Linked DNA regions of Bombyx mori. The protein of the gene in region 1 purifies or fractionates together with the protein of each later gene. This does not show direct contact. Links are inferred from orthologs where the notes say so. Each region holds a gene or a part of one and is shown on either strand. Other genes may lie near its edges.

Region 1 (3,987 bases):
CCTTAAGCTCTACATTGGTAAAACTAGATATGAACGAGCAAGTTGTAGCAACGTCAAAATTTTACTGGAAAATTGAAAAACAATTCGATAATTTTGTTGCTAGAGTAAAAAAATTTAAAGAACGGTCGAAAAAATACAATAATAGGCGTAGCCTGGACAGATTAGAGAAGATAAATGAAACATAATTTACTGGTGGTAGGGCGTCTTGTGAGCCCGCACTAACTATTTCTACCGTGAAGCAATAATGAATTTCGGCTTGAAGAGTGGGACAGCCGTTGTATTGTAAAAACTGATTTCAAACTCATGTCTTAAGGTGGGTGGCGGCATTTGAGTTGTTGAAGTTTACGGGCTCCGGTAACCGTTTAACACTAGGTGGGCTGTGAACGCAGCTATCCAACGAAGTAATTAAAAAAAAATGAAAAGTTGATACTCCGAAATATTTCGTGGGTAATGCCTTAATTCATCTTCAAATCTTCTAGGAAAATAATACTTTATCCTCGAAGTAATTTGATCGATCTGAATATTGCATGCAATCCACATTTTAGCGCATGTCTAGTTATTTATAAGGCTTAACTCTATTTTTATACAGTTTATATATGTACAGATTTTTAGTAAATATTGCAATTGTGATTGACTGATATTTTTTTATTTAATACCAATACGTTTCAATTCCTCAAGAACGGGCTTCATTGACCGATTAGTTCATATCTATTAAAGTCTACAAAATAAAAAGTTTTTTTGCCACTAGTTCCAAAAGCTACCAGTAGAAACTCGACACTTTTACGTTGGAGAAGTTACATAGACATATATCTTCTCGTGATGTAATTTTCTTTGAATAAAAGTTTAAAAAACATTGCGCAAATATATCTAAATTAAAATGTAAATGCAACTACCAAATTTTTTACTTAATAGCTTATTCTTTGCTATCAATTGCTTACTGTGATTACGTACCAAGTAGTACTCAAGATAGTCCTCCATAATAGTCAATAAAATAAAAAGTTCGTACAGAACAAAGAGAATATCTCAAAGTAATAAAATACAACTAAATTCAAGATTATCAAGGTTTTCCCTTTCATTTAAATGTAGTAGGTATCTGGTTAGTCTATCTACGATTTCTTGACATTTTTCACACTGCTGCTAGTATGATTATAGATAATACACATAGTATTTGAGAAGTATGATGGTAGCATAGATAATACCGTGCACTGAATGGGAGAAGGTTGAATTTTGTAGCTGTCAAAGTTGAAATCACTGAATTTCAGATAAAGATTTCTGATTACTAGTTTTAAAAAAAGGAGGCGTCAACCCGTCTTTGAAAGTAATATTTAAAAAAAAAGCCATAACTAAACGTGAAAATGGTATACTTATCTCATAAAAAAATATTATTTAGTTCATTACTTGCGTGTAATAATTAAAAATTATTCTAAATTCCCAGATAAGATTCATTTTGATCCAGAACCGAGCAGGCAAGACTCGACTTGCGAAATGGTATATGAATTTTGATGATGACGAAAAACAGAAGTTGATAGAAGAAGTGCATGCAGTCGTCACCGTCAGAGACGCGAAACACACGAACTTTGTCGAGGTAACTTTATAAAGCCTATTTTATCATTAATGACCGCCTAAAGCTTTCTGTCTGCTATAACTCCTTGAAGATATCCTTGGTCACTTGGAAACAATACAGATTAAATCATACTAATCAATATAAGACTACATGAAAGAGTATAGTTAAAGTAATATTAAATGTATAATTGCATTGAGTGTGCACAGGAGTCACTAGGGTCAATTACGTTCCTCCCTGAGATGGTTAATAATATAATCAAAAACAGCTTTTTTTACTGCTTGAAGTGGTTGGAACAGTTCCCTTGCATGCTACACATGCTAAAAAGTAGCAAGCTGAGAATCTTTGAGAACTTCTTTTTCATTTGTATTCTGTACAGTAATTGTTGTTTTGTTGAAAATATTTGGAAACTCTTGACTATAAGTTTGCATCAAAATTGCTGGTATTCCTCAACATTGAGAAGCAATACTTCATGCCTGGATACATAATTTTTCTTTACAACACCCTAAGTCTGGTCTGGTGTGGAGTACTGCTCCTATCTTTGAGCTGAGTCTCCCAAATATCAGCTATGTCCATTGACTACATACAGAAGAAGGCTGTTTGGATTGACGATAATCCCAGTCTGACCGCTTGGAAAACAGGCACTGTGGGGGAACTACAGTTGTCCTTGTTTTATACTGTGCATTCCATGGGAGTACAATGAGGAATAGTTTGAATATTTTCCCAAATATCATCTAACTTTGGAATTAACTTCTCTTCTCAGTGTTGCTTGAGTGCTGTAACATCTTTCTCAGTACTCAGCTATAGGCAGTGAATTGGTTGTGATCCTGGCATTGTATCCATGTCAATGAGTAACAGTAACCACTAACCATCAGGTGGGCTGTCTATCAGCCTATAAATAAAAATTGAAAAAATTACCTATAAGATGCTACAATGTTTGTTTAAAAATAATCTAATGTCTACCACTTACTCTTTCTATTTAATTTTCATATTGCTGTTAACTGTGTTGGTGTCAACTATTCAATTTATTATTTTCAATACACATTTTGAAGCTGCTATTACACCTGTCAGATATCTATCTATACAAGAGTGCTATTATGTCAGTAACATACAGGATTTAATTATTTCTATACTGTTTTGGGTATAACATAACACCCTTTAATCAACCGAAAACATTTTTTGTTGTTCTAGTGGGTTTATATTTTGTCAAAGATGTGTTACATATATTACATTGCAAAATATTAGTTATCCTGTGAGGAGTTCCTAATACTTCTGTCTGTCTTGGTTTTGAGAATTCTTATATATTTAATATCAATATAATACCTATCAATAGCTTAATAATTTTATTGAATATTAAACTATTCATATGAAATTCATACAATACAACAATATCTCTTTTCTACAGTATAGATATACAAAGATATGTTATTCTGTTTACAGTTCAGAAATTTCAAGATAGTATACAGGAGGTATGCAGGTCTGTACTTCTGTATATGTGTCGATGTAAATGATAACAATTTGTGTTATCTCGAGGCCATACATAACTTTGTCGAGGTCCTAAATGAATATTTCCATAATGTTTGCGAGTTGGACTTGGTCTTCAATTTTTATAAAGTAAGTGGAAATACATAAACTGTTATATTTAATGTGGACATTCTTAAAACTGCTGTCAATTATTTTGTGTTATATTTAATAGATAAAAGAAAGAAATTTTTAAAATCAAGATGGGTTGTTAATACATTTCAAGTGGCTTATGTTATAAGTACCTATTTTTGACAAGGTTGATTGGGGTAAAGTGGTCATCAAAGGGTACATTTTGCATGTTTTGATATGTTTAAAGCTAAATTCGATTCTGTTCGTATTTTGTAGTTGTAAAGTTGATAAAAATTTCTTTGAGCAAATTGTAATTGATTAGATCATCCCTCGTGTTTGCCACACACGCCTTCGGCTCGGGTGGCAATTTTACACGCGGGAGGAAATGCCCTACTTTTCTCCCTTGGTGCACAATGTACTATTTTTCCTACCAGGCCGAAAGTTCGACATTGTAAAAAACTTAGCACCCGTGGAGTACCGAACCGAGTTCCAGGGCCGAGGCCCTGGCGAGAGGGTGGGGGGGCGGAGCCCCCCACTCATAAAAAAAACAATTCCTGTTTTTTATTTTTTAAATAAACTACTACTAATTGAATAAGAACTGTCTGATGAACTCATCTTTGCTTAATACTTCACTATTAAATTTTATTGCCTTTTGTTTATTTCACTTTTACACTAAACACAATATTGCAAATTACCCGAGCACAACAATGGCGAAGAATTTTAGGTGCGTGAGAGCAGACGTAGACACTAACGCACATGCGCACTTGTCAGTACCCAGGGAGGAAAAGTTACACTTTCTTCCCTGTACAGCGGGAGGAAAACCGAACTTTCGG
Region 2 (4,023 bases), on another chromosome or scaffold:
AGGCCATCGTTGACGACTCTACGTCGGCCGTCTCGGTGCGGTAGCCCGACGGGCCACCCCAGGCAGTGGTGCTGGTGTTCCGGAATATCCCGCTGGACTAGAACCAGCCAATAGGAACGCAATATACCACCAACCGGTTGCTCTCACACAATAGTTTCGTGGAACTGCTGCCATGCAGCGCGCTAGAGCGCAGGTACGCCGTGCGGTAAATGGGATGTGGTCATGGCGCTGGCCCCAGCTAGGTGAGGCCGTAGGCTAAGGCGTAATCGTAGGTAGCCTGGTTCGGGAGGTCAATGGTTTTATTGGTACTCCAACCATTATTGATGACGAGCGTTGAAGTCTTGGACCATTACCTCCACAAATGGTTACTTTGCTCAAGCAAGTGGTCAGTCCTCTCTTGCAAATGCTCAAACTTTTTGGCATGGATGATCTAGTGTGCTCACTGGTTGACAGGGTTGTGTTTGGACTTAATAAAATAAATTCGTGTTGGTAGAAATGGGAGTATTTGGAATTTAAAAAACACAACGTTGAAATGATTAAATTTTGATAGATTTTCTTTGGTTGTCAACACTGAAATTTGTTTAACCTTTGCACAGTAACATTCAAAATGACGACTTTGACGCCAACTGCTGCACCCGGAATTCGGTGAATCAACAGTCCGAAAAAACCGAGATCCAGATCCAAAAAACTGACTTTCTCTACATCTAACATGAAGTTTGTGTGCGAGAGAGAAGGTCCATTCATTAGGTACAGTTTTAAATGTGTTAGAAAGAATAAAACATAATAGTAGAATATCTGTTATGAGTCCAAACTCTCCGGACTATTCACACCCGGAATTCGGCGACCTCATTGTAATCAATGAAACGAGATGAAAATAAATTAAATAATATCAGTGAAGTAATGGGAGATTCGTTAAGCATTTTGGAAGAATCCGAAAAGCTGGATGAAGATTTTGTTTCAATTTTCCAACATGTTTCATTTTAAACGACATATAGAATGCAATTAATAGTTAAAATTAGACGATAATGCCTGAAGAAAAACAGAAAAATAAATCATTTCACGCAACTTGACATTTCATATTCCTGCCAGAAAGTAAATAATATTTATCAGTCATTATGGTCATAGACCTATGTCAGTACCTTCCATGACAGTGCCAAGTACAATTTCCTTTCTTTAATCTTTACTCCTTCACTTAGCTTAGTCTATGACTGGCTGCATATTGATTGGTCGACGAGGAGATGTAAAAAATGGCTGCCTTGCCGTCTCCTACCCAGGTAGAAATTAATAAGATTTACTGAGTTGTTTTTGATTAAATTGCTTAAAGGAAGTTAATTAATCAATTTAAAGAGTCCAGTTTTAGTAAAGTTTAGTGTGTGGTTACCAAAAATAACCGGTTTTAGTAATTTAGTGTGAAGATCGTGTTAGAAACAAATTTATTTGCTTGAATTTAATGTATTGACGTATTTATCCCAACAGTGTTCATTTAATGCCCATTTCGTAGTCAAAGACTGTGCCTCAGTTATGGTGAATAATCTCTTTAATAATTTATTAACCTCTTAATTAGTTGGTTGAATAGTAAATGTTAACAATTAAAACATATCTCGATTAAAAGTAACGCCACCTCAAAAGTGATATAAACAAGTCGAAAACAAATATTATGGTGATCTAAACGGTGTCAATATGTGGACTCAATCGTTACAGGTGGCAGGGACCCACAGCACGATATATGAAGCCTACTATCATCAGGTAAGTGGAGAGTTCATACATACTTACATGTCTTGTTGGTCATTTTGGTATATTAAATAAATTTGTCATCAACCCTGCTCTTGCCTAAGTGATCTACGAGTACATTTGTATACAAATGCATAGTTTAACTCATAGATAATTCGACTATAGCTGATAAATTTTAAAGACGGAATTTTGTATTTATTAACCAATCTAAAAAACCCATCAGATTACATATTGTATTCTCTAATCACTGATGAGATATTAGGAAACTTTAAGTATTTTATTTTCATAAACAGTTCTGAATAAATATTTTAACCATAAATTTAAAGCCGGTCGTCAACTAACTTCCTCCAGGTACTCAGTTGCCTCTGGTTGTTAAATCATTTTTCAAAGAGATGTCAATGACTAGAACAGTGATATTGCAAAGAAATTAATTAAAATATAAATAGATTAACATGTTTGCTGAGTTGGTTTTGCTCATTTTATAACTGTTGGTAGAGTTTATTTTGAAATTTAAATCTTCCTCAAAGAACCCTTCAGTACACTGAAATAGCACATGAGTGGCTATTCCAAGCTTATGATCACTAAGATAAATGTCATATTGTGTAAAATATAGGCATATGTGTATATTTATGTAGGCTCATTTTATGTCACAGTGTGTGTATGTAATTTGAATAGGCTATATCTCACTAAATTATAATTATGCCGTTGGACACTTTTGTCCTCCTTCAAATCTTGCTGAGCTTTACCTACATGAAGCTGTTGTGGCCTAAAGTATAAGACACCCAGTGAATTCATATTGAGTCATGTGACTGACCCAGTATTGAAGTCCTGCAGGCAGGCATCAATTTTTGTGAGGAAACAAGTACTTAAAAATGAGTTCACTTTACAAATGACTTTTGTGGTAAAAGAATAACATTGTCTTAGAAATCAAACTTGCAGAATTACTGGTGGTAAACATTGTAAGATAGATCAGTTCTGTTTAAATTAATGAATAGATTACTTACTCTACCAATTCAATAAAAATGCACAAAGTAAATACCATCTCAGACGTAAGATCAAATATGATAATGAAATTTGTATCTTTGATATATATGGTATATTTTAAGATTAGTTGTGATTGCCAAGAGGTGATAAAAAATGTGAAATCAGATAAATTTCAGTGTTGTGTTTTTGGTCATTGCAGCAACAAATATTTTGTACCCAAATGTGAAATAAGTTATATCTCAACCCTTCTTTACTTTAATGAATGAAATATGGTAATAATTCTCTCCAAATTGTTTCATCATTGGCCGTTTGTTGGTTTGCATTAGATCTATTTTGAGCAAACTTTAAGTCAAAATTTGTAACTAAGAATTCTGATAAATATATTCCTGTAGCCCTAACCAGCTACTTCCAGTTGACTCCATACAGAATATAGCCGTTCGGATTTTGTACTGTATGTTCCACGGAGTGCTCTGAGGAATTGTTTGAGATGATCCCATAATTTCATTTTTACCATCGCATCGCCCGCCACCGATATAGAGTTCATCCATACTAGAGCCAATGTGTTCATCCACACAATTTTTTGCCATGTACCACTAGGGTTTGGAATGAGCTTCCTTCCATGGTGTTTCCCAAGCACTATATGCCCTTCTTCAAATGAGGCTTGTGGATAGTATTAAAACGTAGGCAGCGGCTTGGCTCTGCCCCTGGATTGCTGACGTCTAGGAACGACAGTAACTACTCATCATCAGATGGGCCGTATCCTACATAAGTAATAAAAAAAAGTTATGATTTACAAAATTTTTATACTAGTGCTAGATATAAGCATAGGCCAGTACTGTTGGATTCTTGATTGTAAGTTAAATAACTTAGAGGCTGTGTGCACATTACAACAAGAACAGATCAGGAAATGTGTTGCTCTAAACTGGCTCTGATCTAACATGTTGGTTTCTTCAATTACAGATGCAATACTTCCTTATTGTTCCTTATGTGCTCTATTCAGTGTATTTTCTTGCTTTTTAAATCAGTACTTACTAATATTGGAAATGCAAACATGAATACATAGGCGGCACTGAAAATTTCGGGAATTAATGAAGTGACACAACATTACTATTTAAAAATGTATTTATTGCTTTTCGAAGTATTCTCCGCGAAATTTGACACATTTTTCCATACGATGGAACCAATCATTGAAGCAACCATTCCATTCGGAAGTTGGCGTCTCCAAAATGGCCGTTTTGTAGGCGTCCACAGCTTCTTCAGGTGATGAAAATCTCTGTCCACGCAATTTATTCTTTATTTTAGGGAAAG
Region 3 (4,171 bases), on another chromosome or scaffold:
CGTCTATTTCATAAAAAATTAAATAGAACGAATTGTGAAAATGCAAATTCAACTGCTGATTTATTATCACTCGCTACCAATGACCACCGATTCATCAAATTGCGATAGATAGGCTCAATTATAACCATGTCAACGATTTCTCCAGTGTGGGCTTGGCCAGTCACTTTCAAACAGCTTCTGTGGGACGTTTTTCTTCGTTGTTTCTTGTCGTGATATTTCAATAAGAAGAGCGTTCTGCAATTCTATCTTCTCCCCGCAAAATTTTGGCTGTACATTAAAATGGCTGCCGTGCAGATCACATTGGCTGCAATTTCCTACATCGCTCAATTCGTGGCGGGTTGTAGGAGATAGATTAGGTAAATGGTTTAATTAAATGTCACCCCGATAACTGCTTTGCGGCAAAAATAGATAAAGTGTATTAGTACTTACCAGAGCGGGCTTACAATGCGTCCTAGTATCAATAATCACCCATATTACGTGTGTTAATTATTCGATAAGGAAGCCAGTTCACCCATGGCTACGTGCAGTACGTTTTCCATTGGAAAAATTTGAATCTGCCTACAGGATTTTAACATCCGTACGGATGTTTCAATCGATTAAAATATGCCGGGCGTTTTATCCTTTATATCATGTCTACAAATCATTCTACGCTTATTTTGGTATTTATTTCAAGAAATAAGAAATAAATATGATTTAGTTAAAATGGTTGATATCTGCCAATAAGATAATACTGAGTACATACCTTTGATAATTTTTAATTTTGACAAAATATCTTCATTATTCAATTGGCAATTTATATTTTTTTTATCAAAGGATGTTGTCAAGTTACGTTAAAATGCTTTTCATTAAATTTATTAGATCCTGTAAACTTTTGGAGCCTTGGTATATTGTTCGTGCATTCTTTTACAATATCAGTATTGAAGAGGGAAGCAGCTACTTAACGGACGGTGGCATGACATTTAAAACTTAACCAAGTACCTACCTACCTGGGCAGAAATCGAAAAAAATGTATGAGATTGTCTATTGTTGTGATACGACGTCACGGTGGAGGACGTCATCTTGCACAAGAAAATTATTTTATTATTTATTTTGTTACAAAGCACGTAACATTACCCGACTTACCCGTTATCTTGTGTTTTTTTTTATTTTAAACCATTTCTTAAATTTTGTTGTGAATTTAAATTTCAATAACTAGTTTGTCATGTTGAAAGTGTTTGAAGGTGACGCTTCACGCTATTGTGCGGTGATGTAATTTAAACGATTAGGTGGCTTCGCAGTCATAGGCAGTGCAATGGAGGAATCCTCTTTCACGATCCCAGCCGATGACAACGGCGATACTGAGCTCGACCCTAGGATCCAGGTCAGTGCGTGACAATATAATGTTCTGAGTTGTAACGGTAGCATCTCGCAACTGCAAACATGAGTGTTAACTTTGTAGATTATTTCGCCAACGAGCATAATGGATATGATATATTATATCAAAACATGAAATACGGACTTATAGCAAGTAAAGAGCTCTCCGAATATCTAAGGGAAAGGTCCAATATTGAGGAGACTAATTCAAAATCATTAGCTAAACTAGCAAAACAAGCGAACGGTAACTGCGCACAGGGTACATTCGCGCCCTTCTGGAGCGTTCTCAAATGCTCAGCTGAGAAACTATCTAATTTACATCAGCACATGTTCCAGAAGGTGGGTGAATTGGTCAAAGATGTGGCGAGATATGCTGATGAATTACATAAAAAACATAAGGCTGTCAAAGACTCTGAATCTAGTACTTTAGAAGTAGTATTACTGATACAAAATACTAAACAGGCACTTCAGAAAGCAAAAGATGTCTATACTACAAAATCTGCTGAATTTGAAAAACTCCGAAAGGATAATGCATCTGCTAAAGACCTCGAAAAGGCTGAGGTTAAATTGAAGAAATTACATGAAGACTATTGGCAGCTTGCTGAAAAGTATAATCTTGTAAAACAAGATTTTGAAAAGAAAATGTCTCAAACATGTAAGCACTTTCAAGATGTGGAGGAGGCACACTTAAAACAAATGAAACAGTTTGTTAATGTTTATGCTGATATAATTCAAAACAATCACGATATGATGGGACAGGTGCATCGGGACTTTAAGCACCAGTGTCTAGAGTTGACTGTTGAAAAACTATTAGAACAGTTCTTGATAGAAAAATATACTTCCATAGAAAAAGCAGTTCTCGTTGAGCTGCCCCCAACTTTACCAAAACCCGGTTCAGCTAACAACTCTATATCAGAAGCCGATCAGATATCTACAGTCTCTAATGGCTCTCACAAACCTACGCAGCCAGGAAAAGCTCCCAAAAAAGAGCCATCTTTTGCTACTAAAACATCAAGGAGGACTACTTCACTCCTTAATTTATTCACTCCCAATTTCCAAAGCAAAGATGAACCCACTATCAACATTGAAGGTGCTGCACCATGCTCTGCCCCTTCCAGCCCAAGTGGAACTCCAGCTATTCCGGTAGCTCCAGATAAAGAGGACAACATGGGTCGAACCACCTTGCGGGAGTCCAAATGGTTCTTACGTAGCAAAAGAACTAAGCCAAAACAAAAAAAATCTAAAAAGAAAAAGGATGATAACTCTATGAACTCAACAGCTGACAAGTCTGATTTTGAGGAAAAACAAGAGGAAACACCAATTAAGGAGGATCTGATAAATTCACCTGAAGTAGATGAGGAGGGTTTTTGTATAAGACCAAAAGAAGAGAAAGGCAGTGTATACTCTTCTAGTGATTCTGACTCTGAAGAGGAAAGGGAGCAGAAAATTCATGTTGAGATTAAACCTATAACCAATGGTAGTGCTCCAATGTCTGCTAGTGTAGATGAGCTCAGAGCTACCGTAGAAAATATCTCCTTGTACAAAATTGGCACAACACGTCGGGGTTCTAATGTGAATACAAGCAAAGCAAGCAATGACCTAGTTGGCCTGGACTTCTTCCCGAGCCCAACTGTCAGTAATCCCACATCACCTCAAGCTAATGTGTCTAATCCTTATGCACCTTTACAAGGAAATCAGTCACATGTGTTTGAGAGTCCCACACCCATTTCTAATACTGAAGTTGGTGATTTATTCTCAGAAGTAGGTGAAATGAGTCAATCCAATATTCGAACATCCACCCCAACAATATCTACTATTTCTCTCCCACGTCCACCATCAAGAAGGTCTGATGGAGAATTTCGAACTGCAGGTTCTACAGGCTCCCGTGGTCCTTCCCCACTTACAATCGGCATGGCGGATACTATACCGTTGGCAGTTGCGTTCCATGAAATAATTCATTCATATTTCCGTGGTACAGAAGAATCAAAATGTCAAGTAAAGATGTCTGGAGACATGATGCTTTCTTTCCCCACTGGTATTGTTGGTGTGCTTGCTAACAATCCAAACCCTGCAAAACTTTGTTTTAGACTAAAAAACATACATAGATTAGAAACAGTACTTCCAAATAAACAGTTGGTTACCATCAATCAATCAACATCTACACGTGATACCACTGTTGTAGATTTCAATATGCCTGCTTTGACCTCATTATTGAAGCGACAGTCAGAAAAAAATCCCACCGCACAGTACTTCAATGTAGATATATTAAAATATCAGATAAGACCAAAAACTGGAGCATCCTCATGTCCATTTCAGCTGGTTTCTTATTGGAAATGTGAGAAGGACCACACAGATCTGAAAGTAGATTATAAGTACAATATGCATGCAATGAGTCCTCCATCACCACTTTTGAATGTGTCTGTGTGTGTTCCTGTGAATGGCTCTGTTAAAAATGTAATTGCAATGCCTAAAAACATTTGGAATGAAGAAACTGAACAAGCGTTATGGCGTTTTACCGAGTTGTCGCAACATTCAGAGGACCGTGGCGTAGGATCGCTGCGGGCGCGCTTCGAGCTGAACAAGGGACCCTCTAGCAAGGCCACTCTCTCATCTCAGTTTAATTGCGAAGGCGCCACCCTCTCTGGGATAGAGTTTGAACTGATTGGTGGTGGGTACCGCTTGTCGCTCGTGAAACGTCGCTTCGTGTCTGGGAAATATATTTGTGATAGCGAAATGAACTAATTGGTCCAATTTCGACATGAGCGTGTGCTTTTGTATATGTAATTCTCGTTGTCATATATCCACGTGTGTATGAGTT

Evidence for each region. The genes of interacting proteins can lie anywhere in the genome.
Region 2: the proteins of AP-2 complex subunit sigma (region 1) and epidermal growth factor receptor substrate 15-like 1 purify together in Homo sapiens (affinity purification with mass spectrometry; 4 studies listed by BioGRID and IntAct, counting the BioPlex papers as one, with this or other methods). This does not show direct contact. The link is inferred for Bombyx mori from reciprocal best matches to the Homo sapiens genes AP2S1 and EPS15L1.
Region 3: the proteins of AP-2 complex subunit sigma (region 1) and F-BAR domain only protein 2 purify together in Homo sapiens (co-immunoprecipitation; 3 studies listed by BioGRID and IntAct, counting the BioPlex papers as one, with this or other methods). This does not show direct contact. The link is inferred for Bombyx mori from reciprocal best matches to the Homo sapiens genes AP2S1 and FCHO2.

What each region holds. Positions count from the first base shown.
Region 1 is NC_085131.1:681,802-685,788, forward strand, and holds the start of AP-2 complex subunit sigma, read left to right. Parts: upstream 1-1,175; 5' UTR 1,176-1,355; coding exon 1,356-1,358; intron 1,359-1,435; coding exon 1,436-1,585; intron 1,586-3,001; coding exon 3,002-3,175; intron 3,176-3,987. UniProt on the Homo sapiens protein: Component of the adaptor protein complex 2 (AP-2). Adaptor protein complexes function in protein transport via transport vesicles in different membrane traffic pathways.
Region 2 is NC_085125.1:127,916-131,938, reverse strand, and holds the start of epidermal growth factor receptor substrate 15-like 1, read left to right. Parts: upstream 1-1,212; 5' UTR 1,213-1,247; coding exon 1,248-1,274; intron 1,275-1,476; coding exon 1,477-1,524; intron 1,525-1,701; coding exon 1,702-1,746; intron 1,747-4,023.
Region 3 is NC_085116.1:2,412,213-2,416,383, reverse strand, and holds the start of F-BAR domain only protein 2, read left to right. Parts: upstream 1-1,360; 5' UTR 1,361-1,419; coding exon 1,420-4,095; 3' UTR 4,096-4,171. Other genes in the region: SH3 domain-binding protein 5 homolog, read left to right, coding at 1,292-1,360. UniProt on the Homo sapiens protein: Functions in an early step of clathrin-mediated endocytosis. Has both a membrane binding/bending activity and the ability to recruit proteins essential to the formation of functional clathrin-coated pits.